Cricetulus griseus: one gene and its partners. The protein of the gene in region 1 purifies or fractionates together with the protein of each later gene. This does not show direct contact. Links are inferred from orthologs where the notes say so. Each region holds a gene or a part of one and is shown in the gene's direction. Other genes may lie near its edges.

Region 1 (3,959 bases):
GCCAAAGCAGCCCCAGCCTGTAGCAGCGTTTATTCTCCGGAAATCCTAGCAGAGATGCAGAGGGGAAGGACTAGACAATGGTCCTCACAGAGCTACGACGATATATCTTTAAGATAGAAAAATGAGTCATTTAAAAAATAAGCTGGCCCTACAGCATTAGCTCTGGCTCAGTGGCCGGACAGGCTTCCTGCCAGTACCTGTACATAAGGGCCTATTGTTTACTTGCGTTAATTACAGTGCTGGGATGAAAGAAGGCAGGGGGGCGACTTTCACTGTTGCCATTGTTTGGGAAGAGACGTGAGCACACAATAATAGACCTGGAGACAGCCAACCCACCCCAACTGCTCCAGTTATGACCAGCGCCAGCCGTGCAGGGCGACAATGGGGCCATTTCCAAGGCATGACCCAACTTCAGCCTGTGGTAATGACTCAGATAACATGCTCTCGAAGGATGCAAAGTGGGTTTGGAAAAATCTGGAGTTGTTCGTGGGTCCTCTCAGCAACACACTCGAGTTTCTCACACAAGACAATAAAATTGCAGTCCTTGGGAAAAGTCTCCCTGCCCAGTGGCTCCCGGTGAGACAGGATTTCTAGGAACCAGGCTGGTGCACAGTGCCTTGCAGCTGGACCGCCTGTTCCAGTTAGATGTTACCAACAGGCACTCATGGGGACTCCGTGGCCTCTTGGGGTGGGGTGGGGGGGAGGTGGCTGAGCCCCAGGGATCCCTGTCGGGGTTCGGGAGGCGCAGCAGGAGGTGAGAGCAGACGCCCCTGCAGACAGTGACCTGCGGTGGGGTCGAGTCGCAGCTCAGGGATGTGGCGGTGTCCCGGACGCCGGGGCAAGAGCCGGGCTCGGGTCTCGAACTCCCGCCCTCCGAGGGGCTGCGCTCCACCCTGCCCGCGGTGGCGGCCCCCCTCCCCACCCCCGCCCGCGCGCGCCTCCCTTCAGCTTCCACCACGGGGAGCCAAAGGCGTCGGGACGCCACGCCCCGGCCCGGCCCTCCCGGCGGCGCATGCGCGGAGCGGCAGGGCCGGCGGGGACTACTTTCCGCGCCCCGCCCGCGCCCCCGCCCCTCGTCCTCGCGCGGCGGCACGCTCCGCGCCGGGCGGCGGCGGAAGGACACGCGGTGCCGCGCCGCTTTATAAAGCGCTCCTTGTGCGGCGCCATCTTAAGCCCTCGCTCGGTGGCGGCCGCGTCAGCTCGTGTCCTGCGCGCAGCCCGCGGCCCGGGGAGGCGGAGACGGAGAGCGGAGCACGGTGGGCGCCGAGCCGTCAGCTCAGGAGGCCGAGGGCGAGCGGACGGCCGTGAGGGAGCAGCGCGCGGCCCGAGGTGCGGCCCGCGGCGGCGGGCTCCAGCCGCGCCAGCGGGAAACTTCGCGGGCCGGGCGGCCGCGGCGGCGGCGGCGGAGGGCCGCGGGGGCCGGGGCCGGCGGAGCGGGGGCGCGGCCGGGGGAGGGGGACGGGCGGCGGCGGACGCCCTCGCTCCGGGAGCCCGGATGGACGCTGGCCCGTGGGGTGGGACCCGCGGTTCGCGTCCCGGCTGGGCTGCGGGGGGCGGGGGGCGGGGGCGGGTGGGCGGGGGGCTCCGCCTCCGGGGCCCGCGGAGACGGGGTGCGGGCGCCCCCCGCGCTCGGAGGACGCCGGACTGGCTGGCTGGGTGGCGCGCGTCGCCTCCTTCCGTGGCGGGGCACGGATAGATCTCTCCCCCCGTCTCTCTCTCCCTTGCGACGACCTCACTGTGCGAGTTTGAAGCCGAACAACTTTAAGCCGCGGAGTCGCCAAACTCTGGGTGCGGCGGGCGGGCGGGAGTCCGGGGTCGCGGCGAGCGGCGGCCACTGGTGGTTTTGCGGGTGGGGTGGTGGGGTGGGGTGCGCAGGGGTCCGCTCGGAGCGTGCTTGCCCTCCGCGACCCCCGTGCTGGCTCTCGGGCCGAGAGACACAGAGAGACAGAGTGGCCGGAGCGCGGACCGCCGGCCTGGCCCGCCCGGGCGAGCGCGGAGACTTGTTCCGAGTGTGTGCCCTGTTCGGGGAGCGGACTCGTAAGTTAGGGGCCCCGGGCCGGCTCGGCCGCGCCGGCGGCTGCGGGGCAGCTTTGTCTCGGGCTCGGGTCTGCAGACATCTGTGGCCCCCTCCCCTCCCCTCCCCCGCCCGCCCGCCCGCCCGGCCTGAGCGCTGAATGGAGAGTGGCTGGGCCGCTGGTATGCGGAGGTCGGCGAGAGGAAATCGAGGAGTGGTTTTAGTGAAACGAGAGCTTTGTGCCGTGAATAATGGTGGCTTAGACCAGACAGCGGGCCGGCTGGAGAGACGGCAGCTTTGCCTTTGATGAAGTCTGCCTCATGTTTTTCACACGGCCAAGTTGTGCCGCGTTTTGTCTGGGGTTTAGGAAGGAAGCCATGCCGCCATTTACTTGTGTGGCTTGCAGACGTCTCGGGTGCAGGCCCTCCCCGTCCCAGGAAAGGGAATGCAGCTTGCTCTGTTGGTTTCTAATTGAACGTTGCTTAAGCTTGTGGCTTCTATGTCTCGATGCATTGGGCCCAAACTTTATGTGAGTTGAGGCCGCTGTTACGTTTAGTTCACTTTTACCTTTAAATATTCAGAAATCCCCGGATTAAAAAGAAGTGTCTCCAAGGTTTGAGAGCCCCCTTTCGCAGCAGACAGCATTGATGACCGTGCTGGGGATGGTCGTTCTGTGCCCTGACCTTTGTCCTGAATGAAGGCCGAGTCTGGACAAGTTGGAGACATGCAGGCGTCTTTCTCTAGAGTAGCTAGCACCAGACCTTCTCAGACAGAAAGAAGCTGAGCTTGCCTGGAACAGACTTCATAGTCGCAGGAGGACCAGCCTCAAAGAGGGAAGCTCAGGTGTCAAATACTGTCTCAACAATTGTCTACAGCAGCGGTTCTCAACCTTCCTAATACCGCAACCCTCAATACAGTTCCTTGTGTTGTGGTGACCACCAAAAATGTAATTGTTTTCGTTGCTGTTTCATAACTCTTAATTTTGTTCCTATTATGAATCGTAATGTAAATAAATAATTTGTTTTCCGATGGTCTTAGGTGTTCCCTGTGAAAGGGTCGTTCGACCTCCAGGTTGAGAGCCACCCGTCTGGAGTCCCCATGAGAATGTATATTTGGGTATTAAACGTCTCCTGGGGAGTATCTGTCCACTTCTATAGTGATGATGGGGATAGAAATTGCTGGGAATGAAGCTTTAGCACTGGTTTCAGAATGCCACCGCCAAGGTGGGGGACAAGGAGACAAGCACCTCGGGGTGTGCACAGTACTGGTGGAGCCTTTTCCACATGAATGCAGGGCAGAGACCAGAGCCTGTGCGCACCGGGGTCGGGAGTTTGGATCCTTATACTGCTAAGCAGTGAAGTGGACAGCACCAGTAGACCAGTCAAATGCAATCTCAGTGTTTAGGTGAGGCAGTGGTCTGGGCCCATCACCTGGGTATGAGGTGGTAAATTTTTAGTGTGCTTTGGAACTTGGTCAGAAGCTCTACCTGTGAGACAAACCTCTGATAAACAGTGTTCACAGCTTGTTTGTAGCAAACATTACATGGCCTGTGGAGGCAGCCTCTGCCCTCTCTTAGAGGACACAGCTCTCAGACGAATCAACCCTTGAGCAGTGGCAGAGGGTGTGACCCATAGATCACTGACAGGGTGAGATGAGTACCGACTTGTGGTTTCACAAAAGAAAAGTGATGTGTGGATCGGAACTGAAGCAGGAGCTCTTTATGCCCTGGAGAAAGGTTCTTATTTCCTTGTTTACCTGTGAGTAACGCTGTGCGCCACTTGACTGGGAACCTAGATTTACCTGCTGATGTAGAACTCTGGGAGAATGCATATAGTCTTCCTTGGGGAGAAAAGCCTTTAAAAGAGGAAGTACGCTGTCCCAGGGCTTAGCCACTTTTTTGGAACTTAGTTGTGTTGTCTCTTAAGACATTTCCCGGTTGCAGCTG
Region 2 (4,280 bases), on another chromosome or scaffold:
TTCTTGCTTTAAATCAATGATTTCTTCAAACTCTAGTTGAAGACCAGTTTCCAGGCTCCTTTTCACAGGGATCATATATTTTACCACAAATTCTTTAAGTGATCTGCATGCATCTATTTATTTATCTAGTTAGCTAGTTGTTTTATTTTGTTTGTTTATCCTCCCCCTTCCCCTCAAACTGCATCTTCTTTAGAATATTTCTCCAGTTTCTATAAGTAGAGAGCAAGGAAAAGTCTCCGAGTGAGGGAAGAAAGCTGACAGGGTGGCAGTGCTACTGTCCGTGGTCCTGAACCAGCATTGTTCGAGGAAGATGTTTTCTAAAGCTTGCTTTTGGTGACGTTTGTCCACGTTTCCCTACACGTTTTAAAAATGGTCAAGGGGTGATGGGAAAGGAAAACAAAGTCGAGGAGACATTTGGAGAGAAAGATAGAGGATCATATAGTGGCAACTTAGAGATAGGAGCACAGTTGAGTTCCATGTAATTTCCTAACAACTGCAAAATTGCAACTTAGGAACAACAGTGGAGGAAATTCCGGACGCAGCCAAGGGTGAAAGGGCAAGAGAAATTCGAGCATCCAGTGATGCCGGGCCATTTAAGCACGGCATGAACAAAAGATTCAATGGTAGTGGACGAGGATTCCAGATGGAATAAGTGTCGACTGCATGCCAAGCTGCCGTAAGCTTTCTTCCACTTTTCTGCTTTGATGTAGTACAGACAAAGCCAAAGTTGTCATTCGGCACTGTGGTCGAACAAAGACAATTGTAACTTATGCTTCTCGCTGGATATAGCTGTGTACCGTTTTGCCTCGAAGTATGTCTCACAGTTAGACCCCATCACCAAGCTCCCAGTACTTCTGGCTGACAAGGCACGCGTGTCTCTCTATTCATATTCCCAACTTGTGTAACCCCTAGGAGGACAGAGAGTGGCCTTAAACATTATAGGTACTTCAACATGCCTAGAGTGTGTAATACCGACAACTGCAATGCCTTCCACAGAAACTGAGTCCAGAAACTGAGGCTGTTTGTTAAACAGCCTCGGCCCTGTTTTCCTTAACTGTCCCATTCTTTTCCAGGTTTTCCCTCGTTCGGGGCTGCAGGTCCAGCAGGGCTCTGGCCTCCTGCTGCCACGTGGTTCGGTCTTTTTGAGCAGAAGTCCTCATCCAGCCCTTTATCACCCATGCAGATCATTCAGAAACCCAGCCTCTCCTGGCCGGGTTGCATCAAGCTCCTGGTCCCCGCCCAGAGGGTAACGCCATTGCCATGGAAACGGCACCTGCGCCCTCTGTGGCGCCTTTCTCCAGTCCCTCCCCTCCGGCGCTCCCGGGCCACGCGCCCGCGTGCTCATCCTTTGCCAGCCCGGGCGAGCCGCGGGCACGCGCCTGCGAGCAAGAGAGCGGCTACGCGTGCGCACTGTGTACCTCCCCTAGCGGCGATCCGGGCCGCTGCCGCTCGCTAGGGCAGGACGCGGGGCGGGCGGGGGGAGGGGGGAGCGGCTTTGCTGGCAGCCCTGAGTGAGGCGGAGACCCGGGCGGAGCGGGCGGCACCGCACCTCGGCCAGAAGCAGCTGCAGCAGCTGCCCTAGTCCCCACCGCCGCCTCTCCAGCCACTTCTGTCATTCCACGCCAGCTGCTGCAGACAGAGGACGAGGAGGAGGAGGCGAGAAACTCCCACCGACCCACAGAGGTGAGTCCCGGGCAGAGCATCCTCCATCCTTGCCTGCCTCCCTCCCTTCCTGCCTCCCTCCCATCCTCTCCATCCTCCCCTCCCTCCTGCTCCCCAGCCCTCCCGCCCTCATCCTTCCCAACATCCCTCTCTCCTCTCTGCTCCTTTCTCCCTTCCAGCCTTTCTTTCATCCCTTTCTTCTCTCACCCAGCCCTACTTCCTTCCCACCCTTTCTTTCTTCTCTGTTTTTCTTTCAGACACTCACCCTTCAGCTCATCTTTGCATGCCTTTTATCTATCTTCTTTTCATCTCTTTTCACCCTTCTTTAACCTCACCCCTTCCGGGTGGGTGGGATGGTGGGGAGCATCCTTGCCTGCTACAACTGTCCGGATTCAGGGGCTTCTGGTAAATTGGTCTCATGTACCAAGAGAGGCACACTCGCACAGAGAATGCCCTGCAGTTCTTTACATTGTCAGGATTAAGGGTCAAGTTGGATAGAGTACTGGGAACTGGAAGGAATAGGGTCCAGGAACAATCTATGGATATGTGCTATAAAGGGTGGGGGTGGGGAGGTTGTCACTTAGATATGTTTCCAACCGTCCCCCACTCCCCTCTTCAGTTTCTTCCTTTCTTTTTTTCCTCCTGGGAATTGTATATTCCCAGTGTGTATCACACTAATTTAAAACCAGCTTTCTCTGCTTTGATTGTCGTCTCCATGAGAAACCGCAAGGAAAGAGAAGCTTGGAAGGGAACAAGAGAGAAAGAGGGGAGGGGAGAGGAAGGATGGCAACAGTGAAAGCCTGTATCCCTTCCCTTAGGCCTTTCTGGATTGACGTTTTCAAGCCACCCGCCTAATATTCAGCTTGGACTTGAACCTGTGTGTCCTTGGCTCAGTCACTATCTACTTCACAGACAGAAACTCTCTCAACTTTAATGCCGGTGCATTGCACAATGTGTTTTGCTCGGTATGCAAAACACTCTGGGAACTTGGTTTGAGGAAATAGGAAGATACACTTTTTGTTCATCCCTTGTTAACTTCAGGAGACTGAGAATGTCTAGCCAGTTGTTGGAGAATGAGGCTTTACTCTGCTGTCTTGTAAACATATCATTTTGGTAGCATTAGTTATGTGATCGAATTCGGCACAGCCACCCCCAGTCCTTTTCAGCCACCTTATAGAAATCCTGATACTTGAAGAAAAATGTTCCGAGAGACTGTGTCCTTTCCTAGATTTACACTTACTGAAAAGTTGAATTGCCTCTGGGGATTATTGTTAAGAATTTAACATTTTCAGTCAATTTTTCATCAGTTACTTGCACTGAATCCTGTATTTGACATTGCTTTCTTTAGCTTCACTTAAGCGTGTTTCAGTGTATGTCAAAGATGGCATGGCAGTTTTTGTTTGCAAATGCTGTTTCTAAAGGATTTACTTAGACAGCATTTACTTAGATGGCAGGACAGCAATGCTGGATCAGTATATCATCTTAGTGAGTCTAATTGTGTGCATGAAATAAAGTGTAAAAATTAAAGAACTATATTTTGTTCTGTTGAAATTCATCTGAACATTAACATCTCCCGCAGCCTTAACTTTAAGATAGCAATTTTTTTCTTTATAAATAGTATCTGCAGAGCAACCAAAACTGGATTCCCTGAAGTTGCCAGTCAATAACTAGGATATGGAGTTGCATTTATTCCTTTTACTGAGATTCTGATGACATTTCAGCAGTGTAATAGGCACTTTTGCATTCCTTGTGAATGTGCAGTAGGAGTTGAAATGAAGAGAATGGCCTTCTTAAGTGACAGAGTGCGGATCTGAGTAACAGCTGATACCTCTGGTCATGCGGATTAGTGTTTGGGAAATGTGTGATATTAGGAAATAAGAGAGGTCTCCCCCTTTACCTTCCCCTGGAGGAATGCAGCTCCTCTCACCGCTTGGCAGGTTTATCATCCCTGTGGCAGAAGCTCAGTTGAAGTATCATTTACTAATGTCTCCAGGTCGAATTGTGGTCAACCTTGTATGTGTTTGAATGGTTATATCAGTTGACAGTGAATTTGCACACAGGTGTGTTTTTGCTATTGCTGTTACTTTTCTTGTCCCAAGTTTCAGCCAATGAAAGGCTTTCATGGCAATCTGGGGGGGATAATAACTTTGTTTTGTTCTAACTTACTTTCAAATGTCATTTTCCCTGCTAATCTATTACACTTGCTTTGTGGGGTTGTGAGTGTGGGAGGAATGGTCTCTCATCAGCCTGCTTTCTATGTTGCAGTTTTTCTGCTCAGAGTGATGAGGGAGTATCTCAGATAGTAATACAGTGCTCACTGTGGATAGAATGGCACATTTTATCTGACTCTTCTTTATAAATATTCATCAATATTGTGAAAGCAGACTGAAGTTATTAAAGAAATAGAAAATGAAATATTTTGTTTATGACAATATCTTAGGAGAGTGGATGAGTGAAATGAATAAAATATGAACTGTAAAAAGAATGAATGCATAAAGAGGCAATTTGATGTAGCTGGGGTACAGCTCAGCTATAGTTTGCGTGCACAACATGATCCAGACCCTTGGCCTGTTCTACAGGACCCCCCAAACAGAACACAAACAACAAAAGAGCTAACT
Region 3 (3,969 bases), about 57 Mb from region 1:
CCTATTTTGTGCGGCCGCAGATTCTTCTGGTTGCCGGCGAAGCACTCGTGCTCCGGGCTACCCGGGCCATGTGGGGTGCCTGCAAGCGCTCACGCGGTCCATCCTGCGGTGGCGAGGCTGCGCGTACCGCAGGGCTCCTGGACCAGCCAGTCACACTGCTCCAACGTGCTGGCCCGGGGTGGGCGATCAACCAAGGGCGGCTTCCGAATGTAGCTGCAGCCCGATGCGACCAGAACGCTCATAGCCCACAGAGTTCAGTCTGATTAGGGAAGCAAAATTTGTCAAGTCAGTGCTGTGAGGAAGGATGGGGCTGCACGAGCTGGTCCGCACACAGGGATTGAGTAAGCAGTAGAGCACCTAGTCTGAAGGTTACTTAAAAATACAGTCTTGGAAAGATGCCTCTGGATCTATCTCCTCTTCCAAACCCAGGAGATTGATAGGATAAATAGAGCCTCATAATGTGGGTCCAGTCCTGCGTGGAGGCAGCGGGGGATATACACAGGTTTTAGGAATCTTCTGAGGTGGTTCAGCCTCTTAGACATTTGCTCCAGACTGCTGGAGTTACTGGCCTCCGTGTCTGTACGGACATGACTAATCTCAGGTGAAATGACCACGAGGGCGTGCACATGTACTTTTTTTTTGTCAATGGATGAAATACAGTTACCTTGAAGGCCGAGTCTGTCGCCCAGTTATTCCTCTACACATTAGTACTAAGCTTGGGGAGGCAGGGAGGCAATGAACACCCAGTATCCCCTAGGAAACGAATTCTCTCTGGTCCGTGTTTACAATGTAACTAATGTTAACAATTGCAACTCCCAAGAAAGCCAGCTATCTAAAGGGACAAATGCTGCAGCTTTTGTCTTCGACTGTAACGGTAGAAACAAAGGAACAGGTACCCGGATCAGTCTCTTCTGATTTTCTCGTCCCTGATGGTTCATGTAAGACCTTTCTGCTCCCTGGCTTGTAGGAAGTTGGATTTGGAAGCTGTTGCAGTAAGTTCTGTTGCCACAATACTTAGGGTGGGGCTACTTTCTAGAGTACAGAAGGGAGGGCCTTGGGTCAGGATTCAAGGTACCATTGTTAGCAAACAATTTACTGTCTGGTGGCCTGAGGATGTTGTAGGTAAGGCAGTGAGGCTGTTCTGTGGGAAAGTGTACTGTAATCCACCACCGGGTCTGGGCAAGATGACTCATCCTTTCACATTAGCGGCATTCGAGAAGATTCTCATCCTTGGGTGAGTGGGGAAAACTTGGTACTCCTAGGTTTAGTAAGGCCCCTGTTTAGTCAGTCAAATACTGAGCTAGCGTGCATTTCCCTAAGTTAAACTTCTATGTGTCACTCAGACTGAGTGTGGTGGTTCAGCACTTGGAGGCCAGGATCGCAGGTTCCAGAGGGGGGAAGGGGCAGCAAAATGCCGGGGACCAGGCCCTTTGTGCTACTGGAGTGCTGGAAGTGTGAGTGGTTGGTCCTAGTCTATAGGTCCACTCTTAATTCTTGAGTGATAGGCACAGCAGCTTCTCATGGAACAACCAGTATCCAGAATGACAATTTCTGTGAACTCATTTGAGTTACTGCTTTTAAGTGGAACTATATGGATGATAATTAATCACTTTCTAGTACATAGCTGACTCCAAACAACTCAGTCTCATGGGGGTTGGATATACCATCTGTTTTGGCAAGAAGGTATGATCACAGGAAAGGACATCTTATTTCTTAAAGCTGTTGATTTCTTAATATTGAGTAGAAGAAACGAGCCATCCATGGGCAGGAAGGTAGAAAAAAAACCTATTGCATTAGACTCATTACTTGGGTTTTTAGTGTCTTTTGCTTCAGCTTTTCTACAGGAAGTCAAGATGAGTTGGCCAAGCACTAAGGTGGAGATTGAGGTAGAGGAAAATGACTGATTCACTTTAAGTTTCTGAATCATCCCAAATACCCACAGCCAAGTTAACTGGTAAACTACAAAAATGAGTTGTCGCCTGTGAGGTTTTTTACTTCGCTGGTAAGAGTACATAAGTACTGAGTCATCCTTGCAAACTTCACTCTGGTACGGATAGAAATAAATGACAGACTTTTTGATTAATTCCTGACATGATACTTTCTTGGGTATTGCAATTTTTCCCAAGAGCCAGACTTAGACTGGATATGGAGTAGTCGGAAGAAGTGAGCCCACGTGGTGAGCCCACGTGGGTGGTGGCCTGCAAACCTCTGCTGGCCTCTTAAGGCTTAGTGTAACAGCTCAGCTCAGGACTGGGGGTGGTCTTACAGACACCAAGCTGTGCAGTGAGGCCACGCCCCTACCGTAGTTTGTGCCTGTCTGCACGTAGGAGGGAAGGGGGAAGGTTTGAGCTGTAGTACCTCTGGTGGCCTCTGGGACACCTTCACTGAAGGGTCTGGGGAGCTCTGAATCTTTCCCAAAGCCAGCTAAGCTCTAAAGGAAGCTGCATCCCTTCCAAACATTTTTTTATTTTTATTTTTTGTTGTTGTTGTGTTTGTTTTTCGAGACAGGGTTTCTCTGTGGCTTTGGATGCTGTCCTGTAGACCAGGCTGGTCTTGAACTCACAGAAATCCAACTGCCTCCCGAGTGCTGGAATTAAAGGTGTGCACTACCACAGCCCGGCTCCTTCCAAACATTTTCAATTAACCTACAGGTCATATTTTGACTTTAAACTACTGGTGTTTTCCAGCAATAGTGTAAAAGATTTTAAGGCATGCCCATTTTGGAAGAGTAGGGAAGCACTGGGTATGGTGGTGCACATTTTTAATCTCAGCACTCAGGAGGCAAAGGCAGGCGGATCTTCAATTCAAGGACAGCCCAGAAGAAGCTGGTAATGTAGTGCTCGGGAAATGTTTGCCTGTTGGGCACAAAGTCTTTCCATCACTAGCACTACATAAAATTGACATGCCTTTAATTCCAACATTCAAGATGTGGTGGCACGAGGATTGGAAGTTTATATTCAGCCTCAGCTACTTGATGAGCTCAAGGCCAGTCCCAGATACATGAGAACCCATATCAAACAAGAAAAAAAAGCCAACAACATAGGGTTCAATATAGATATAGTGATTGGGTATCCAAAATTCAGGGTAGGGGTGGGGACAAAGGACAGCGGGAGGGTTAGAGAAGTCAGAGATTGGGAGAAGGAAATTATTTATGGATTGAATACAATCAGAATACTTTTTATTTTTGGAAAGTCTAAAAATACAAATCATTGTTGAAGCAGAGTTCTAAGTGGTAGAAACACAGGGTTTGGGGTCCCTCTCCCCCTTGGGAAGGAATAGTTGTGATCCTATAAAGGTCACTGTAGACAGGCACTCATAGTAAGTAGGTCAGTGCTCTTGGACAGCTGGTACTGCCTTCCCTATTTAACACCCCCCGCCCCCCTTGGTTCAGGACAGAAGCTGTGCCTCCAGTTGGGGAGACCATTGTGCATTCTGCTTACACCTGGTTGGTTTCCTAGACTCCTAGCCAGGGTCCAGAGTGGGCATCATTCCCGGTAACACTGGCAGCTTAAGCCTGCTAAGGAGGGCACCATGTGCCAGCAGAACAGAAACTTTCTCCCAGATCATCTTCTGGCTCAAACTAGTTGCAGGAGATCCTTGGTACTAAGGACTGGAGAGTTTCTTTGTCCCTGGCATTCTGTCCTGAAATAAAATGGTCTTTCTGCAGGATGGTCCTCATAATTGCATGGCAGGATTTACAGTAGGACTGTTAAAGTTAAGGTTAAATAAAAGATGGTTTGTGCTTGTTTCTTTAATTTTTTTTTTTTTGACCCCACAGAAATGAGCCACCCAAACAGGTGGGCTCATATTCTGAATAGCCTTGTAACACCAGACTTTTCTGGTACAGAATTTGCTAGGGTTAAGAAGTAGACCTCCCTCTGGACAAGGTAGCAAATGCCTTCAATCCCAGCATTCAGGAGGTAGGGGAGATGGATATCTTGAGTTTTAGGGTAGCCAGGGCTATGTAAT
Region 4 (4,003 bases), about 53 Mb from region 1:
AATCCTCCTCCTTTCAGGACTTGGCTTCAGGGAGGTGGAAGGAGACACCTAGGAAACCACAGCCTCTTGACAAGCTGTGGCTGGCGATGGGGCACCCTCGGTGACAGAGCTGGGGGCCCCTGAAGCTTCTGGGCTGACTTTGTGGGACTGGCCACACTTCATAGGTCTTTGTAACTCCCACCGGCTCTTGGTTTGCAAATAACTTCTTTCTCACCACCGTCGGTGGTGGTGGGGTTTCCCACTGTTTAAAACAAGCATAGTCCTATACCTACTGAGTTAACCCGATGGGATTGCAGCCGCAGGGTAAAGGAGCTGAGAGCCTGCTGTAACGCCTCCAAGCCCGTGAAAGGACCATGGGCAGCCAGCCCCGAATTCCGATAGTTGGGCCCCAGGGCTACCCAAAGTCAGGTTCTCTTGGTGTCCTACCTAGGCTAACTTTGAGTAAACTTCGTTCCACTTTGTATGTGCGAGTTCACTGCTTTGTAAACAAAGCTCTCTTGCTTGTTTGGCGTCGAATTTCAGTAACACCCAGCAATGTTAATTCTTCCCCTCCCCCAAAGATAAATCCTAAAGCGCTCCCATTCATTCCTTAAGGAATGCAACAGATGTCTTTGAGGCCCGTTTTCTGCAAAGAGCTTGGTTCACTAGGCCCAAGGGACCCCAGGCTCCAGCTATTGTTCAAGTTGTCACTGAGGTCTCTAACTCCACTTTTAAGTCTCCCTCTCCCCCTTCCCAACTCCCTCCTCCGCAGTCTCCGGGCAGTCAGTCGGTCTGATCTCACCCAGCGGGAAAACAAAAACAAAACAAAACAAAAAACACCAAACCAAAGGAAAACAGCCGGGGCCAGTGAGCGAGATCAGTGCTCCCCGGCTTCCTGGGCTTGGAACTGAACCCCTCTTCTTGTCCCAGTACTCTCCAGGGAGCAGCGAACCCTAGGGGTCCCGCGCCTGTTCCGGCGAGTCTAACACTCTCTAGTCCCTGCAACTGCATCTGAGCGTCTTGAGGGCGGCGAGTCCCCAAGAGTCTGGTCCCGCGGCCGCCGTGCCCGGTGGCCCACGTGGGCGCGCTTGGCGGCGCTGGGCGGGGAAGGCCGCGGGTCCTCCCCGGAGCTGAGCGCGGGGGAGGAGCGGGGAGCCCGAGCGGCGAGGGGGCGGCGACAGCGCTGGGAAGAAGCCTGCACGCGGAGCTGCGTGAAACGTAGACTTGGGAGCGGGCGGGAGAGGAGCGGGGAGCGCCGCTGCACGGCCCTGGCCGGCCCTGCGAGGCGGCGATCAGCGGGGAGGAGGAGGAACAGGAGGAGGAGGACTGCAGAGGCGGAGGGATCTGCTCACCAGAGTCATCCAGGCCAGCAAAGTTTGGCTGGGGGTTGGACTTTCCTTCCCGGAGGCGGCACCCAAACAGCTACCCCGTGCGGAAACCCAAACTTTCTACTGCCACTCGGAGTCTCAGCGGCCACCGCCTCCGCCCCGCGCGCCCGGGGCCTGCCCGTCAGTCCGTCGGTCCTCGTGGAGCTACTCAGGCGCCACCGTGCTCCCGATCCCCGCAGCTGGAGTGCCGCGGCCCCGGCCCGGACGCCGGGGCAAGTTCTCCAGAGTTAGACGCGAAGTTCGGGCGCGGCGCAGGCCGAGCTGCCCCTGTGCGCCCCCGGCGTCCCCAGTGCGCCCAGTCCCGCCGGGGGCGCCGGTGACCCTCCCGTGCCAGCCATGTCGTCCATCCTGCCCTTCACCCCTCCGATCGTGAAGCGCCTGCTGGGCTGGAAGAAGGGCGAGCAGAATGGGCAGGAGGAGAAATGGTGCGAGAAGGCGGTCAAGAGCTTGGTGAAGAAGCTCAAGAAGACGGGGCAGCTGGACGAGCTGGAGAAGGCCATCACCACACAGAACGTGAACACCAAGTGCATTACCATCCCCAGGTGGGGGCCGGGAGCGACGGGGGGCGCGCCGGCCCAGCCCTCTAGGGCGGCCAGGGTGGAGAGGGGAGGGCGTGTGCGTGTGTGTGCGCTCTAGTGTTGGGGACAGGCAGTGGGTGGAGGGACCCCAAACAAAACCTTCTTCGGATTTGTCCAGGCTCAGAGCCCAGGCTTCCATGCGGCACTCTGGCTTCCAGACCTCAAGGATCCCTAGCCGCCTGTGGGCAGCAGGGGTGCTGCTGAGCTTGGCCCCCCACTCTCTGGGCTTTGGGCTCCAAGTAGAGGCCCCGCTTTGTTCGGCTCTGCCGGCCGAGCCCCTCCTCCGCCGCCGCCTCCCGCCCCGCGCTCGTGGAGGTGGTGGCGTGTGTCCCTTTCTTTTCTTCAGCTCTGTTCCCCCACTTCTTTTCCTCGTCTACAGGAATGCAGTCGGTACAGCTGTGGGTGAGGAGCGGGAGCCCGTTGATTGACAGATTCCTTCTTCGCTCTTTCTTTGCCTTGGGATTAGCATTTTTATCGAGTATTTTTAGATTTGGTTGTGCCAGCCTCCCGCCCCCTGTGCACGCATGCACGCACGCACTTAGTTGCAGAGCAAAGCACCGACTTTGAAGCGGGAGAAACAAGTGGCAGAAAGTACGGTCATTCCCTCTTCCCACCCCACGCCTGCCTGGTATGCCTTCATTTTAATTGAGAGTTTGCGGGTGCCTAGAACCGAGCAGGCAGCTCCAGACAGATAACAAAACATCCCAGAGCTGGCCTCCCTCTGTCCCTGCATTCCTGTAGAGACCTCTTTTCCCAAAACGCTTTGCCATCTGTCCTGACCTCCTTTATCCTTCCCATCGGGCTAGAGGAGTCCGGCGGGAGCTCACAGATGGCTGATGGAAGGGGTCAGTGACTTCACTCCCAGGGCCTCCCAGAGCATAACTGCGCCTGGGATGAGGGCACTTTAGCCTTCTGTCTCCACTTCTCAAGACATCTTTAAAGATTGATTCCAGAGGAGGGCAGGTGCGGATGTTGCGGGGTGGGGGTGGTGGTGGGAGGTGGTGGTGTCCCAAGCTGCAGAGGAATGGAGAGAGAGCTCCCAGGGCCTAAGATAGAGAGGTCATCATTCTTCCGGGCCAGGGTGGCCTCCATCCTTGGCCACCTGCTCAAGGCAGCTGTGTGTATGCTGCCAGCCCTAACAGTAAGGCGCAAAGCAGCATCTGTCCACAGGAGCCCAGGGTCGGCCTTCCCTGGAAATAAACACCACAGACGGTAGGGATGCCTGCTTAAAAAAAATAGCCAAAAAACAAAACCAAAAACAACCAACCCCCAAACCTGGTTGGGATCAATAAAGGGGGAGGCGAAGGCAGTTGTCTGGGAAGAATGCTTGGCCTGTGAGCCTCTGCCAACTGGCTTTAGGGGGGTGCTGTGACGTGATGGTCACAGGCACCTGGGTTTTAGCTCCTGCTCTGGCTCCTCATTCTTCTTTATCCTTTTGACGAAGTGGAGTGGCTGAGTCTCAGGTCTCTGTCAGATCCGGAGAAATAGCCTTTTCCTAATACGCCTGGGTGCAGCCACACTGAATACTTTATGTTTTGAACCCCCTCAAGTGATATCAATTATGAAGCAGCTGGGCAGAGTGTTTCACAATTTACAAGGCACTGTCATAGGCCTGATGAAGGCCTGGAAAACAGAACAGGCAGCGAGGTCTAAAATGATCTTGCCTTTCAACCAGACAGACCTTCACAGGAGATAGGGAAAAACCTAAGACTGGGGCTAGCATACCCTTTCTCCCAGACTGTTGTGGACTCTGAGAGCCCAAAGCATCCTTATCCAGGGAGGGTGGTGGATCTCTGCCTGGAAGGTTCTTGGTTCATCTTTGGGCTGGGGTCAGCTTAGAGGAGAGACTGTGCCTTCCTTGGCCTACATTTGCCTTCTGATCTTGCTTTCACTTGCAGCCCTTCCCAGTCCCAGGCAGGTGAAGGTTTGTGTGCTTCTGAGAGTTCAGGCTAACCACCTCCACTTCACCCAGGTCTTCCAGGACTAGGCATCTTCAGACTGCACAAAGAAGGTGGTGGGTGGGAGCAGGGTTTTTGTTGGTTGGTTCTTTGGTTGTAC
Region 5 (3,500 bases), on another chromosome or scaffold:
GCAGGTGTCCAGTGGGTGCTGCTGGCAACTGACTGTCACCACTGTGGTTTCCACAGAGAGGCTACTCGACCCGGCATGAGGTCCGCCAGTTCCACTTCACAGCGTGGCCGGAGCATGGCGTCCCCTACCATGCCACGGGGCTGCTGGCCTTCATCAGGCGTGTGAAGGCTTCCACTCCACCTGATGCTGGGCCCATTGTCATCCACTGCAGGTGGGAGCCCGGGAGATCCCAAGGAGAGGGACCAAGGCTGGGGGAGCTGGACTGGAGTGGGGCAGGGTCTTGGGTCCTAAAGAGGACCGGACTTGGGTTCAGCCTGCTTGGAGACAGAGGATAAGAGAGAATGGTTCCCCAACGATCCTGTGAGCTTTGGCTCTGAGGTTGGCATCCCTGGAGCCCCCTTACCACAGCTGCAATCCTGGAGCCTGCAAGCCTACAGCTCCTGTGGCTTATACGGGCTTCTCTGCAGGAATTCTCACTAACTGATTTCCCTTGCCCTATAGCCTCCTGTTAGTGTCTGTCTGTCTGTCTGTCTTTTTCTTCCTCTCTCTTCAGAGCTCATTAACATAGCATCTTCTAAGAATGAATTCCAACTGATACAAAAAGTCTGTCATGCAAAATGTAATTTATATCATGAACAGTGAGTGTGCCTGCAACTGATGGTTTACTAGCTGAACCGTGAGCTCAGTCTTATAGATCTGTTACTTATAGAGTAACTTATAGAGTAACAGAGCATGGGGGTGGGAGATGGAGGATGGAGGTGTTTGATCCCCAGCACCTGTGTAAAAGGCTGGGCATGGGGGCATGTGCCTGTCATCCTGGCCTTGGGAGACAGAGACAGGAAAATCCCTGCCCCTCACTGGCCCTGCCAGCAGGTCCCAGGTTCCAGTGTGAGACCCTGGTCCAGAAGGAACAATGAATAGTGCTCCTAGGGAATGACACCTGATGCTGACCTCTGGCTTCTGACAAGTTTGTACACATGTAAAAGTATAAAGTATTAACACCCCACTGTACACACACACACACACACACACACACACACACACACACACACAGAGCCAAGTTCTGGAATGTTCCCTATTCCCAGAGCAATCACAATCTGACTTCTTCCCTGCAGGAACCCTTTCATGGGTTTGAACTTGGTGTGAATTAAGTCCCGCCAGTGTGAGTTCTCTGCTGTGTGACTTTCTACCCTCTCCTTTGTGTGTGAGGTCCATCCACACAGCACCACATTCCAGGGTGAAAACGCTCTGGCGTATCTGTCCACCTCCTGTTGCTCGGGATCCACTGGTTTTCACCAGAAATAGTGGTGCTAAAACAAAATGGCAGCCCTAAGGATGATCTGACACAGTGGTTGTCAACCTCCCAATGCTCCCACCCTTGAATACAGTTCCTCATGTTGTGATAATGTCCCCACACCATAAAATTATGTCATTGCTACTTTATAACTGTGATTTTGCTGCTGTTCTGAGTCATAATATAAATATCCGATATGCAGGATATCTGATATGTGACTCTGAAGGGCTCAAGACCCACAGGTTGAGAGCAGCTGTTCTAAGGTGTGGCTGGCTTCTTGAGAGGAAATGCACCCACATTGCTGTGGGCCATGTGTAGGGCAGAACTGCCATCTGTGAACAGTCAGCTCTAGTGGGTGCTGTCCAGGTGATTGGAGCCGTGCAGTCCTCGGTGATGCTTTGATGATGGCGGCTTCAAAGCCGGAACCCTGGGGCATCCTTCCCAACCTGCCTCCCCATCAACACTGCTCCTGTGGAGGCAGTGATGGATCCAGGTGGGGTTAGGGAGCTGGCCACATAAATAAGGACCATGTAGCCAGGGTTTGAGCAGAAGTTAGCCATATCGCTCTGAGAGTTTGCAAGAGGGCCGTGTGTCTGGAAGTGCTGGATGTTCCAACTGTGGATGAGGATGGGTGTGGATGGGTGTGGATGGGTGTGGATGGGTGTGGATGGGTGTGGATGGGTGAGGATGGGTGTGGATGGGTGTGGATGGGTGTGGATGGGTGTGGATGGGTGTGGATGGGTGTGGATGGGTGTGGATGGGTGGATGGTGTGGATGTGGAGGATGGGTGGGATGGGTGTGGATGGGTGAGGATGGGTGTGATGGTGTGGATGGGGTGTGGATGGGTGAGGATGGGTGTGGATGGGTGTGATGGGTGAGGATGGGTGTGGATGGGTGGATGGGTTTGGATGGGTTTGGATGGGTGTGGATGGGTGTGGATGGGTTTGGATGGGTTTGGATGGGTGTGGATGGGTTTGGATGGGTGTGGATGGGTTTGGATGGCTTTGGATGGCTTTGGATGGCTTTGGATGGGTGTGGATGGCTTTGGATGGCTTTGGATGGGTTTGGATGTGTGGGTTTTGAATGCTATGCAGGAGTCTGGGATATCCAAGGGGAATGTGTGTTCTTAGATTGCATTCCGAGAATCACCTCCGTCTCTCCGCCGAGTCTTGGCTGTTAAGTTGAGCTAGCCTCACTTCCATGTCCGCCCGTCCTCTTTCTGTCCTTTCCTTCCCCAGGTCTTGTTCTACGCCCTCAACTGTGTCCTCTGTCACCTCATACAGAACCCCAGCTTCACAATCCCTCTTTGTTGGAGTGCTCCCAACCCCTAAGTTATGTAGCTGGGCAGATTCCCTGGTCCCCAGTTCTTTTCCCTGATTTTGAGCCCCTGCCCCTGATGTGGTGCTGGCCTTCTCTTCCCCTCAGCGCAGGCACTGGCCGCACAGGCTGCTACATCGTCCTGGACGTGATGTTGGACATGGCTGAGTGTGAGGGCGTCGTGGACATTTACAACTGTGTGAAGACCCTCTGTTCTCGGCGGGTCAACATGATCCAGACTGAGGTTCAGACCAGCCCTGTCCCCGACCTCTCCCCTCCATCTAGGTCTCAGGGTCTCTGTCATGGAGCGCAGAGCTGGGGTAACGTGTCTTCAGAGCATCCTAGGCCCTTCCTTCCCGGGGACCATCTCAAACATGGCAGTGGGGGGTTGGGGGGATCTTGTAGTTCTCTCCAAATCTCACTTCATGGTGTTGTGTCAGGTGAGTCAGATGGCGGCGGCGGGCTCCAGAGTCACGTGTACCAGGGTTTGTGCCCTCACTAGATCTGGGATCTTGGACTGTCCCTCAGCGCTCAGATGATCTCCTGGGAATGTTCCTGGGATGTAGTAGATGAGCTGATGCGATGGTTGGACCCAGCCAAGCATCCTTGCCGCAGCTGTGGCTATGTTTTTCCTTCATCCTTGGTAGAGCTCAGCTTCAAGCCTTCTCTTTGTTCTTACATTCTCATCTCTTGTTCTAGGAACAATACATCTTCATCCATGATGCAATCCTGGAGGCCTGCCTGTGCGGGGAGACTACCATCCCTGTCAATGAGTTCAAGGCCACCTACAGGGAGATGATCCGAATTGACCCTCAGAGTAATTCCTCCCAGCTTCGGGAAGAATTCCAGGTAGGGGGATGTGTGTATGGGTGTGAGGAGTGGGTGTATG
Region 6 (4,148 bases), on another chromosome or scaffold:
CTACTTCTTGATAGAGGGGACAGGTATGGCCCATAGGCAAATGGCAGTTTGTTAGGATTAGTTGGTTTGTTTTGATTGGGCATGTTAATTAGGTGAACCAAAGGGGGCTTTTGATTGCTAGACTTTAATACTTTTGATAGCTGGACCTTGATAGTCACCCTCAGGAGGAGGAAGTAGCCAAATAAAGAAGTACTTTGGTGGCTAGCTTTAGGAATGTAACCTAACAGTGTAGCAAGGCAGAGGGAATGGGGGAAGGACAAGGCCTGTCAGAGCCATGCTCACCATGCTCGTCATGCCCAGGCCTACTGTGCCCTTCATGTATAAAAAATTGTTGACACCCCTCCTCCAGGATCTGCTCTTGCTCTTGTCTGCTCATTGCCCTTGTCTGCTCAGGAGACAGAGGCAGGCCGATCTCAGGTCAAGGCTAGCTTGGCCTACAGAGGGAGTTCCAGGACAGGCAGAGCTACACAGAGAAGCCCTGTCTCGAAAGACAATAACAAAAAGGCTATCACACAGCAGCATTAAAGAGCTTCTCCTTGTTGAAGAGTTTCTTGCTTACCATGGTTTCTGTCTGGAGAGAGCAAAAGGATGCCAGTCAACTGATACATTATTAATCCCACCCACCACTCGAGAATAAGACCACTACCACAGTTTAAAGCCAAATTTGAAGCAAACTTCAATTAAATATTGGCCAGGTAGATGTGATCCGGCCCGGTCCATACCTGGTTTCCCAGGAAATGGCCCAGAACCAAGTTTTACAAGGGCTTAAAATGTAACTTTGGCTCTCACAAAGTAACTTAAGTGTTATAGAGAACAGCCGTCTCCATGGTTGAGTAACCTCAACCGATCTTTGGGCACAGGGTGCACGTGTTATGGTTCACGCCTACCTCACCTGGCTGCCCCTATCCAACTCCCTTAACCATGTTTTGTTTTCTACAGCACTTGCTTCTTTCCACATAGTTTGCTTGGTTGTTTATGCTGTCTTTCTCCTACGACCAGATGTAGACCTCCCACAGTTAGGAATTTGTTCATCTGTGCCAGAATCCAGTTTGGGATGTATCAAGTGTGATGGGTTGTCTCAATTTAGGTACAACTTAATTTGTAGCCTTAATCCCCGATGAAAAATTGCTCCCAACTTGGTGAAAACAAGGGTAGATGAGGAACATAAACACCCCGTGAAAATCTAGACAGCTGCCTTGAAACGAAGCTTTAGTTCAGGGTCACTAGGTCTAAGTGAAGTCAGGTAGGTGGTAGGCAATAAATAGCCTACCTCTCCACCTCTCTCCACAGACCTGACCATTCTTTCCCACCTTCCGGGTGGGCGGGGCCGGAAGTAGAGCCGTTTCCGCCTGGAGCTGGGCGCTGGGTGCCGGGAGGGACGCGCGGAGATGACGCAAGCAGCACCGGAAGCCGCTCCCCTGTGAGGTTGCGGACCAGAGCAGCGGCCGCAGGTCCAGGTCTGTGTGGGCTCTGGGCCGGGCGGGATTGGGCAGGGATCCTGGGCGCCCGCGGCGTTGCTGACCCACCCCCTCGGCCTGTCTTCTCCCTCTCCCCGCAGGCGCCATGGCTGCGGAGCGGACCCGGCCGCTGCGACGCTCTGGCGGCCCGAGCGCGCCTAGTCGGTGTGAGCCCGGCGCGAGGTCCCGGGCCCCGGGGCGCTCGCTCAGGTCAGTGCCGCGCGGAACACGGCTCCGGGAGCAGGGGACCAAGGGAGTCATGAGCGGGCTGAGGGATTCGGAGTTCATTTTAGAAACAGGAAAATTAGATCTAAGAGTTCCTGCCTCGGTTTCCCTATCTGCGAAATGAATTAACATTGATGCCCCAAGGCTACCGTTTGATGAAAGATGAAGTGCGGACAGGTGGTTTGTAAAACACAGAACGTTGTAGAGCGTGTAGGAAGGCACCATACTTGTGGGTATACTTGAAAACAGGTGTGTATTCGGGATGCTGCTTAAAAAAAGGGGCCGAGATAACTGTATTCATACTACATAGTAATAGTAACTGGCATTTATTGTAGGTTTATAGTGTGCCAGATACTGTGCAGAACACTTTATCCTGTTTAATCCTCACAAACTCCAGTAGGTAAAACAGTACCAGGCTACAGTTTACAAGTGAGGAAATATGCTTGAATTACAGGAGATGATTTGCCCATTGGTTACCCAACAAGTGAAATTTCAGGGCCCGAGTTTTTATTTGAATTTTTTTCAAAGCTTTAAAAAAATAGCCCCCAAACTAGGGGCTTTTAGGCCATGGGTGGCTGTGGACTCTAGTAGTCTCAACACTCAGGCAGCTGAGGCAGGAGAATTGTGAATTGGACTCCAGCCTGGGCTGCATTGCAAAAGCCTGTCTCAAAAGACAAACAAAAAAAAATTAAAGCAATTTTCGAAATTCCTGGAGCAAAGAGAGGAAAATATTTTTAAAATAGTGTATTCACATGTTTTAAATACAAAAACCTTTATATTTAAAAGGGAGCTCCCTCATCCCTTTCCCTTGTCTTTCTCATTCTCCCTGGAAGTAACCTGTTTAATCAGTTTCCTGAATATTCACAAAATATTTTTATGTACATATAACCCTCAGTGTACACATGCACACATATTCAAAGCATCTGATTCTTTTTTCCTTTTCGGTTTTTTGAGACAGGACCTCTCTACATAGCTCTAGCTGCGCTGGAACTCCCTATGTAGACCAGGCTGGCCTTGAACTCAGAGATTTCCCTACATCTGTCTCTGCTTGGCCTGCCTCTGCTTAACTGGTTGTACTTGGTAGGAAAAGGGGGGTAAGGAGATAACCTTTCCAACAACAACAAATATCTACCTTTTATTCTTTAAAAAAAAATACATTTTTGTGTGTGGTGTGTATGTATGCTTGAGTTTGTGTGTGAGTGTGTAAGCCAAAGAACAATTTTACGGAGTCAGTTCTTGCCTTCTAACTTTACGTGGTGTCTTAGTTTGGTTTTTATTGCTGTGACCATGCTATTACCATGACCATTACAACTGTCATAAATGAATACCTTTAATGGAAGAGGCTCAGTTACAGTTTCAGAGGTTCAGTCCGTTGTCATGAGGAGGAGCATGGTAGAGTGCAGGCAAGAAGTTGACTGACTGTCACACTGAGGGAAACTTGAGCAGAAAAGACCTCAGAGCCTGCCCCCCCCCCCCCCCCCCGCGCGCACATACACACACACACACACACACTTCCCCTCCAACAAGGCCACACCTCCTAATAGTACCCCTCCCTTTGGGGACCATCTTCTTTCAAACAACCACATTCCACTCCCTGGCCCCCAAGGTTTATAGCCATATATTAATGCAAAAATGCATTCAGTCCACCTCCCAATGTCCCCATAGTTTATAATAGACCCAAACATGTTTCAAAGTCTCTTCTCAGATGCATGGCAATCTCTTTACTGTAATCCCCTGTAGAATCAAAATCAGAAAACAGATCATATACTTACAACATATGGTGGCACAGGATATACATTTTCATCCCAAACACAGGGAAGGGAGCATAGTGAGGAAATACCAGACTAAAGAAAGACTGAAAACCAGCTGGGCAAACTCCAAACTCTGCATCTTCTTGTCTGATGTTAAAACACTTCAGATCTCCAACTCTGTTCATCTTTGTTGACTACAAGACACTTCTTTCTCTTGGGGTGGTTCCACACCCTGTTAGTAGCTCTCCTCTGCAGGTAACCCATGACTTTGGTGTCTATAACATTGTGGGTTCTCCAAGGCAATCCAGGCTTCAACTCCACAGCTTCACACAATAGCCTCTCTACTAGGCCCCCATTCAGGGACACCCTGACATGTACTTCTATAACTCCTTTTTTTCTATCCTTAACTCTATCAGAACCACATGGCCAACGCTGTCAGCTGTTAAGGTATGCTGCTTGCTGGGGCTGGAATATGGCCCCCTCATTCAGTTACATCTTCACTAGCTTTCTTTCTGTCTTTCACTGCCTAAGCTTGGCTATCATGAAACTTGGTCGGTAGACCAGACTGGCCTCAGATTCAGAGATCCTCCAGCCTTTGCCTTCCCAATGCTAGGATTAAAGGAGTGCCCCAGCACACCAGGCTCTTAATTCCTTTTACAAGTTAGAAATTTAGCGGGTGGTTGGGATCTTCCTCTGAGGTCACCAATTCATTTAT
Region 7 (3,500 bases), on another chromosome or scaffold:
CAATGAGGAAGAGGAAGATGAGGAGGTAGAATTAGAGGATGAGGAAGAGGAAGTCAAAGATGGGGAGGAAGATGGTGACTTAGAGTATCTGTGGGCAAATACCCAGATATATCCAAGATCTAATCTGAACCTGGGCTACCATACTGCTACATCCCCAAGTCACCAGGGCTACATGCTCCTTGACCCAGTTCAGTCTTACCCTAGCCTAGGCCCTGGAGAACTTTTGACTCCTCAGAGTGACCAGCAAGAGTCTGCTCCCAATAGTGATGAAGGTTATTATGATTCTACCACACCAGGGTTTGAGGATGATTCAGGTGAGGCACTGGGGCTTGTCCACAGGGATTGTTTACCCAGAGATAGCTACAGTGGCGATGCCCTATATGAATTCTATGAGCCAGATGACAGTCTGGAGAGCTCCCCTCCTGGGGATGACTGCCTTTATGACCTTCATGGTCGCAGCTCCGAGATGTTTGGTCCTTTCTTGAACTTTGAGCCCTTTTCTTCTCGGCCACCCGGAGCAATGGAAACAGAGGAAGAACGGCTAGTGACCATCCAGAAACAGTTGCTATACTGGGAGCTTCGTCGGGAGCAGCTTGAGGCTCAAGAGGCATGTGCTAGAGAGGCTCATGCCAGGGAGGCTTATGCTCGAGACACCCACACTCGGGAATCTTACAGCAGAGATGTCCGAAGCAGAGAAGTCAAGGCCCGAGAAGTTCATGCTCAAGAGGGTCGAGTCCGAGAAACCCAGGTCCGGCAGGAGAAGCCTGTCTTGGAGTATCAGATGCGGCCCTTAGGCCCATCAGTAATGGGCCTCGTGGCAGGGAATTCAGGAGCTTCTCAGACTTCCCACCGGGGAACCACTTCAGCTTTCCCTGCTACTTCTAGCAGTGAACCAGACTGGCGGGATTTCCGTCCTCTGGAGAAGCGTTTTGAGGGGACTTGCTCCAAAAAAGATCAAAGTACTTGTTTGATGCAGCTCTTCCAGAGTGATGCTATGTTTGAGCCAGACATGCAAGAAGCAAATTTTGGAGGATCTCCCAGAAGGGCCTACCCTAGTTACTCACCCCCTGAGGAGCCAGAGGAAGAAGAAGATGAGAAGGAAGGGAATGCCACTGTGAGTTTCTCACAGGCCCTAGTAGAGTTTACCAGCAACGGAAACCTTTTCTCCAGCATGTCCTGCAGCTCTGACTCTGATTCATCCTTCACTCAAAACCTCCCTGAGCTGCCCCCCATGGTCACCTTTGACATTGCTGATGTGGAACGGGATGGAGAAGGCAAGTGTGAAGAAAATCCCGAGTTCCACAATGATGAAGACCTCACAGCCTCCTTGGAAGCTTTTGAGCTGGGTTATTACCAAAAACATGCCTTCAATAGCTATCACACTCGATTCTACCAAGGCCTGCCCTGGGGTGTTAGCAGCCTCCCTCGATACTTGGGGCTCCCTGGCATACACCCTCGACCTCCACCTGCTGCAATGGCACTCAATAGGAGAAGCCGTTCCCTTGACAATGCAGAGACCCTAGACCTGGACCTCTCCAGTTCTCATCTAGCTCAGGGTTACTTGGAGTCTGATGAGCTACAGGCCCACCAGGAAGATTCAGATGAAGAAGGTGAAGAAGAGGAAGGAGAATGGGGCCGAGACAGTCCCTTGTCCCTCTACACTGAACCTCCAGGGGCCTATGACTGGCCAACCTGGGGTCAATGTCCTCTTCCATTGGAGCCAGACCCTGCTTGGATAAGCCCCAATCAGTTGGATGGGCCTTTTAATCAGTCTTCATATGGTCAGGCAACCTGTTGTGTACCTCCTGTGGCAATGGCAATGGCAGTGCCAGGGCTCCCAAGAGCACCTGGAGACTCTCTGTCTCAGCTAGTTCGACCTTCACACCTACCCCTGCCCATGGGTCCTTGCTATAACCTTCAATCACAGGCCTCCCAAAGTGTAAGGGCCAGGCCTCGGGATGTACTGCTGCCTGTAGATGAGCCCAGTTGTGCCTCCATTTCTGGAGCCAACTCTCTGTCTCAAGCCAAGCCTGTAGGCATCACCCATGGTATCCCTCAGCTGCCCAGGGTACGGCCTGAACCCCTTCAGCTTCAACCCAGTCACTACAGAGCTTCCAACCTTGACCTGTCAAAGGAGAGAGGTGAGCAAGGTGCCTCTCTCTCTACCAGCTACTCCTCCACTGCCATGAATGGAAACCTAGCCAAGTAGTCATCAATTCCAGAGTGGAGACCTGAGCATGTGAATGGGGGTCAGGGGTTGGGCAGAAGGGTGGGGGTGGGGGTTGCTGTTTAACTTGAAAATCCCTTTGGCCAAGATAAACTCCTCTGAGTTTTCACTTTGTTTTCCCACCTCCCTCTGGCATCTTTGGCTAGGTTCAGCCCAAGTACATCTGCCCAGGGAAGTTGCTGCTTCTGTGCTCTAGTTTTTGCTTTGGGGTTCTTCTGACCCATATAGGGCTTGGGATGCATCCTTATTGCAGGCTGAACCCCTCTTCTCTGGTCCCTTGTTGACTAATGAACCACTGATGAGCAGCAAATTTTTGCACTGACTCACCCAGAGATGGGAGGCTTTCTGGCTATTAGCAATATAAAGTTATGGTACATATTATTCCTAACCCCCTTTACATCACATCAAATGACTATAACCTGTTTATCCCAGTTAGTTATGTTTAGAGTGGATCAAGTAGCATGTGTCTCGCTCCCAATTGCTGTGGACTTTGGTATTATAACTAGATGATGTCCTTTTAACCTGGCCTGACATAGTCTAGAAGACAAAACACTAATCCCCATAATGGAGTGAGTAAATCTGTCTGTATTCAAGCAGAATACAAAGGTAGATAGATTGTGGAAACTGATGTGGGGTCTTGAGCTGTGGAACGATATCTTGTTTGTTTCTTAAGCCTGTGGCTGTTGCAGGCACTTTAGAACTTCCCCTTGGTCCTGTAACTGAAATTGTCATAATCTCATTAGAAGGAATGTAGTCTCTTAATTGAGATAAGGGAAGAGAAGCCACCTAAATTGGGCTTGACTGTAAGCATTGGGTTTTGTGGGATGAAAAGGAGGAAAACAGAAAGAGGGGTCCATTTATCCTGGACACCAAGAAGGAATCTCAGACTTTGCAGCTTGAAGCAACTTAGCTTAGGAAGGAAAAGGTTCCCCCACTCCTTCCTCCCAAACCAAAAGAGTTCCTTAATCCTTGTCCACCCCGTTGTGAAGTGGTTCCAAGCTTACATTTCCAAGACAGGATGCCAAAGGCACCTTACCTGTTGTTGTGGGCACTTTAGAAAGCTTTTGTCTCCCAATTAGCCAAGTTCTTAGTATTGTCAAAGGACCAGGCTTCTTGAGAGGAAAGACTGTAATGTGTCCTTGCTCTGCCAAGCTGCAGGCCTGATTTGCATGGCAGCTGCAATCCTTTTTGAAATGAACAGCACCCTCCCTTCTCTTACATCCATGCAATTTTCTTTTTTCTTTGTTTCTTTTCCCTTTTTGGGGGGGGCAGG

What was found.
Region 2: the proteins of Ctnnb1 (region 1) and Ctnna2 purify together in Homo sapiens (co-immunoprecipitation; 5 studies listed by BioGRID and IntAct, with this or other methods). This does not show direct contact. The link is inferred for Cricetulus griseus from reciprocal best matches to the Homo sapiens genes CTNNB1 and CTNNA2.
Region 3: the proteins of Ctnnb1 (region 1) and Pkm purify together in Homo sapiens (affinity purification with western blotting; 5 studies listed by BioGRID and IntAct, with this or other methods). This does not show direct contact. The link is inferred for Cricetulus griseus from reciprocal best matches to the Homo sapiens genes CTNNB1 and PKM.
Region 4: the proteins of Ctnnb1 (region 1) and Smad3 purify together in Homo sapiens (affinity purification with western blotting; 6 studies listed by BioGRID, with this or other methods). This does not show direct contact. The link is inferred for Cricetulus griseus from reciprocal best matches to the Homo sapiens genes CTNNB1 and SMAD3.
Region 5: the proteins of Ctnnb1 (region 1) and Ptpru purify together in Homo sapiens (affinity purification with western blotting; 3 studies listed by BioGRID). This does not show direct contact. The link is inferred for Cricetulus griseus from reciprocal best matches to the Homo sapiens genes CTNNB1 and PTPRU.
Region 6: the proteins of Ctnnb1 (region 1) and F-box/WD repeat-containing protein 2 purify together in Homo sapiens (affinity purification with western blotting; 4 studies listed by BioGRID). This does not show direct contact. The link is inferred for Cricetulus griseus from reciprocal best matches to the Homo sapiens genes CTNNB1 and FBXW2.
Region 7: the proteins of Ctnnb1 (region 1) and Amer1 purify together in Homo sapiens (affinity purification with mass spectrometry; 4 studies listed by BioGRID and IntAct, with this or other methods). This does not show direct contact. The link is inferred for Cricetulus griseus from reciprocal best matches to the Homo sapiens genes CTNNB1 and AMER1.

What each region holds. Positions count from the first base shown.
Region 1 is NC_048597.1:227,990,048-227,994,006, forward strand, and holds the start of Ctnnb1 (catenin beta-1), read left to right. Parts: upstream 1-1,159; 5' UTR 1,160-1,329; intron 1,330-1,695; exon of another isoform or gene 1,696-1,788; intron 1,789-3,959. UniProt on the Homo sapiens protein: Key downstream component of the canonical Wnt signaling pathway.
Region 2 is NC_048601.1:69,548,727-69,553,006, reverse strand, and holds the start of Ctnna2 (catenin alpha-2), read left to right. Parts: upstream 1-1,480; 5' UTR 1,481-1,683; intron 1,684-4,280. UniProt on the Homo sapiens protein: May function as a linker between cadherin adhesion receptors and the cytoskeleton to regulate cell-cell adhesion and differentiation in the nervous system. Required for proper regulation of cortical neuronal migration and neurite growth.
Region 3 is NC_048597.1:171,203,575-171,207,543, forward strand, and holds the start of Pkm (pyruvate kinase PKM), read left to right. Parts: upstream 1-1,169; 5' UTR 1,170-1,184; coding exon 1,185-1,234; intron 1,235-3,969. UniProt on the Homo sapiens protein: Catalyzes the final rate-limiting step of glycolysis by mediating the transfer of a phosphoryl group from phosphoenolpyruvate (PEP) to ADP, generating ATP.
Region 4 is NC_048597.1:175,281,546-175,285,548, reverse strand, and holds the start of Smad3 (mothers against decapentaplegic homolog 3), read left to right. Parts: upstream 1-1,203; 5' UTR 1,204-1,703; coding exon 1,704-1,909; intron 1,910-4,003. UniProt on the Homo sapiens protein: Receptor-regulated SMAD (R-SMAD) that is an intracellular signal transducer and transcriptional modulator activated by TGF-beta (transforming growth factor) and activin type 1 receptor kinases.
Region 5 is NC_048595.1:21,482,937-21,486,436, forward strand, and holds part of Ptpru (receptor-type tyrosine-protein phosphatase U), read left to right. Parts: intron 1-56; coding exon 57-211; intron 212-2,719; coding exon 2,720-2,855; exon of another isoform or gene 2,856-2,931; intron 2,932-3,310; coding exon 3,311-3,460; intron 3,461-3,500.
Region 6 is NC_048599.1:146,551,096-146,555,243, reverse strand, and holds the start of F-box/WD repeat-containing protein 2, read left to right. Parts: upstream 1-1,348; 5' UTR 1,349-1,457; intron 1,458-1,558; 5' UTR 1,559-1,667; intron 1,668-1,712; exon of another isoform or gene 1,713-1,931; intron 1,932-4,148. UniProt on the Homo sapiens protein: Substrate-recognition component of the SCF (SKP1-CUL1-F-box protein)-type E3 ubiquitin ligase complex.
Region 7 is NC_048604.1:74,643,227-74,646,726, forward strand, and holds part of Amer1 (APC membrane recruitment protein 1), read left to right. Parts: coding exon 1-2,209; 3' UTR 2,210-3,500. UniProt on the Homo sapiens protein: Regulator of the canonical Wnt signaling pathway.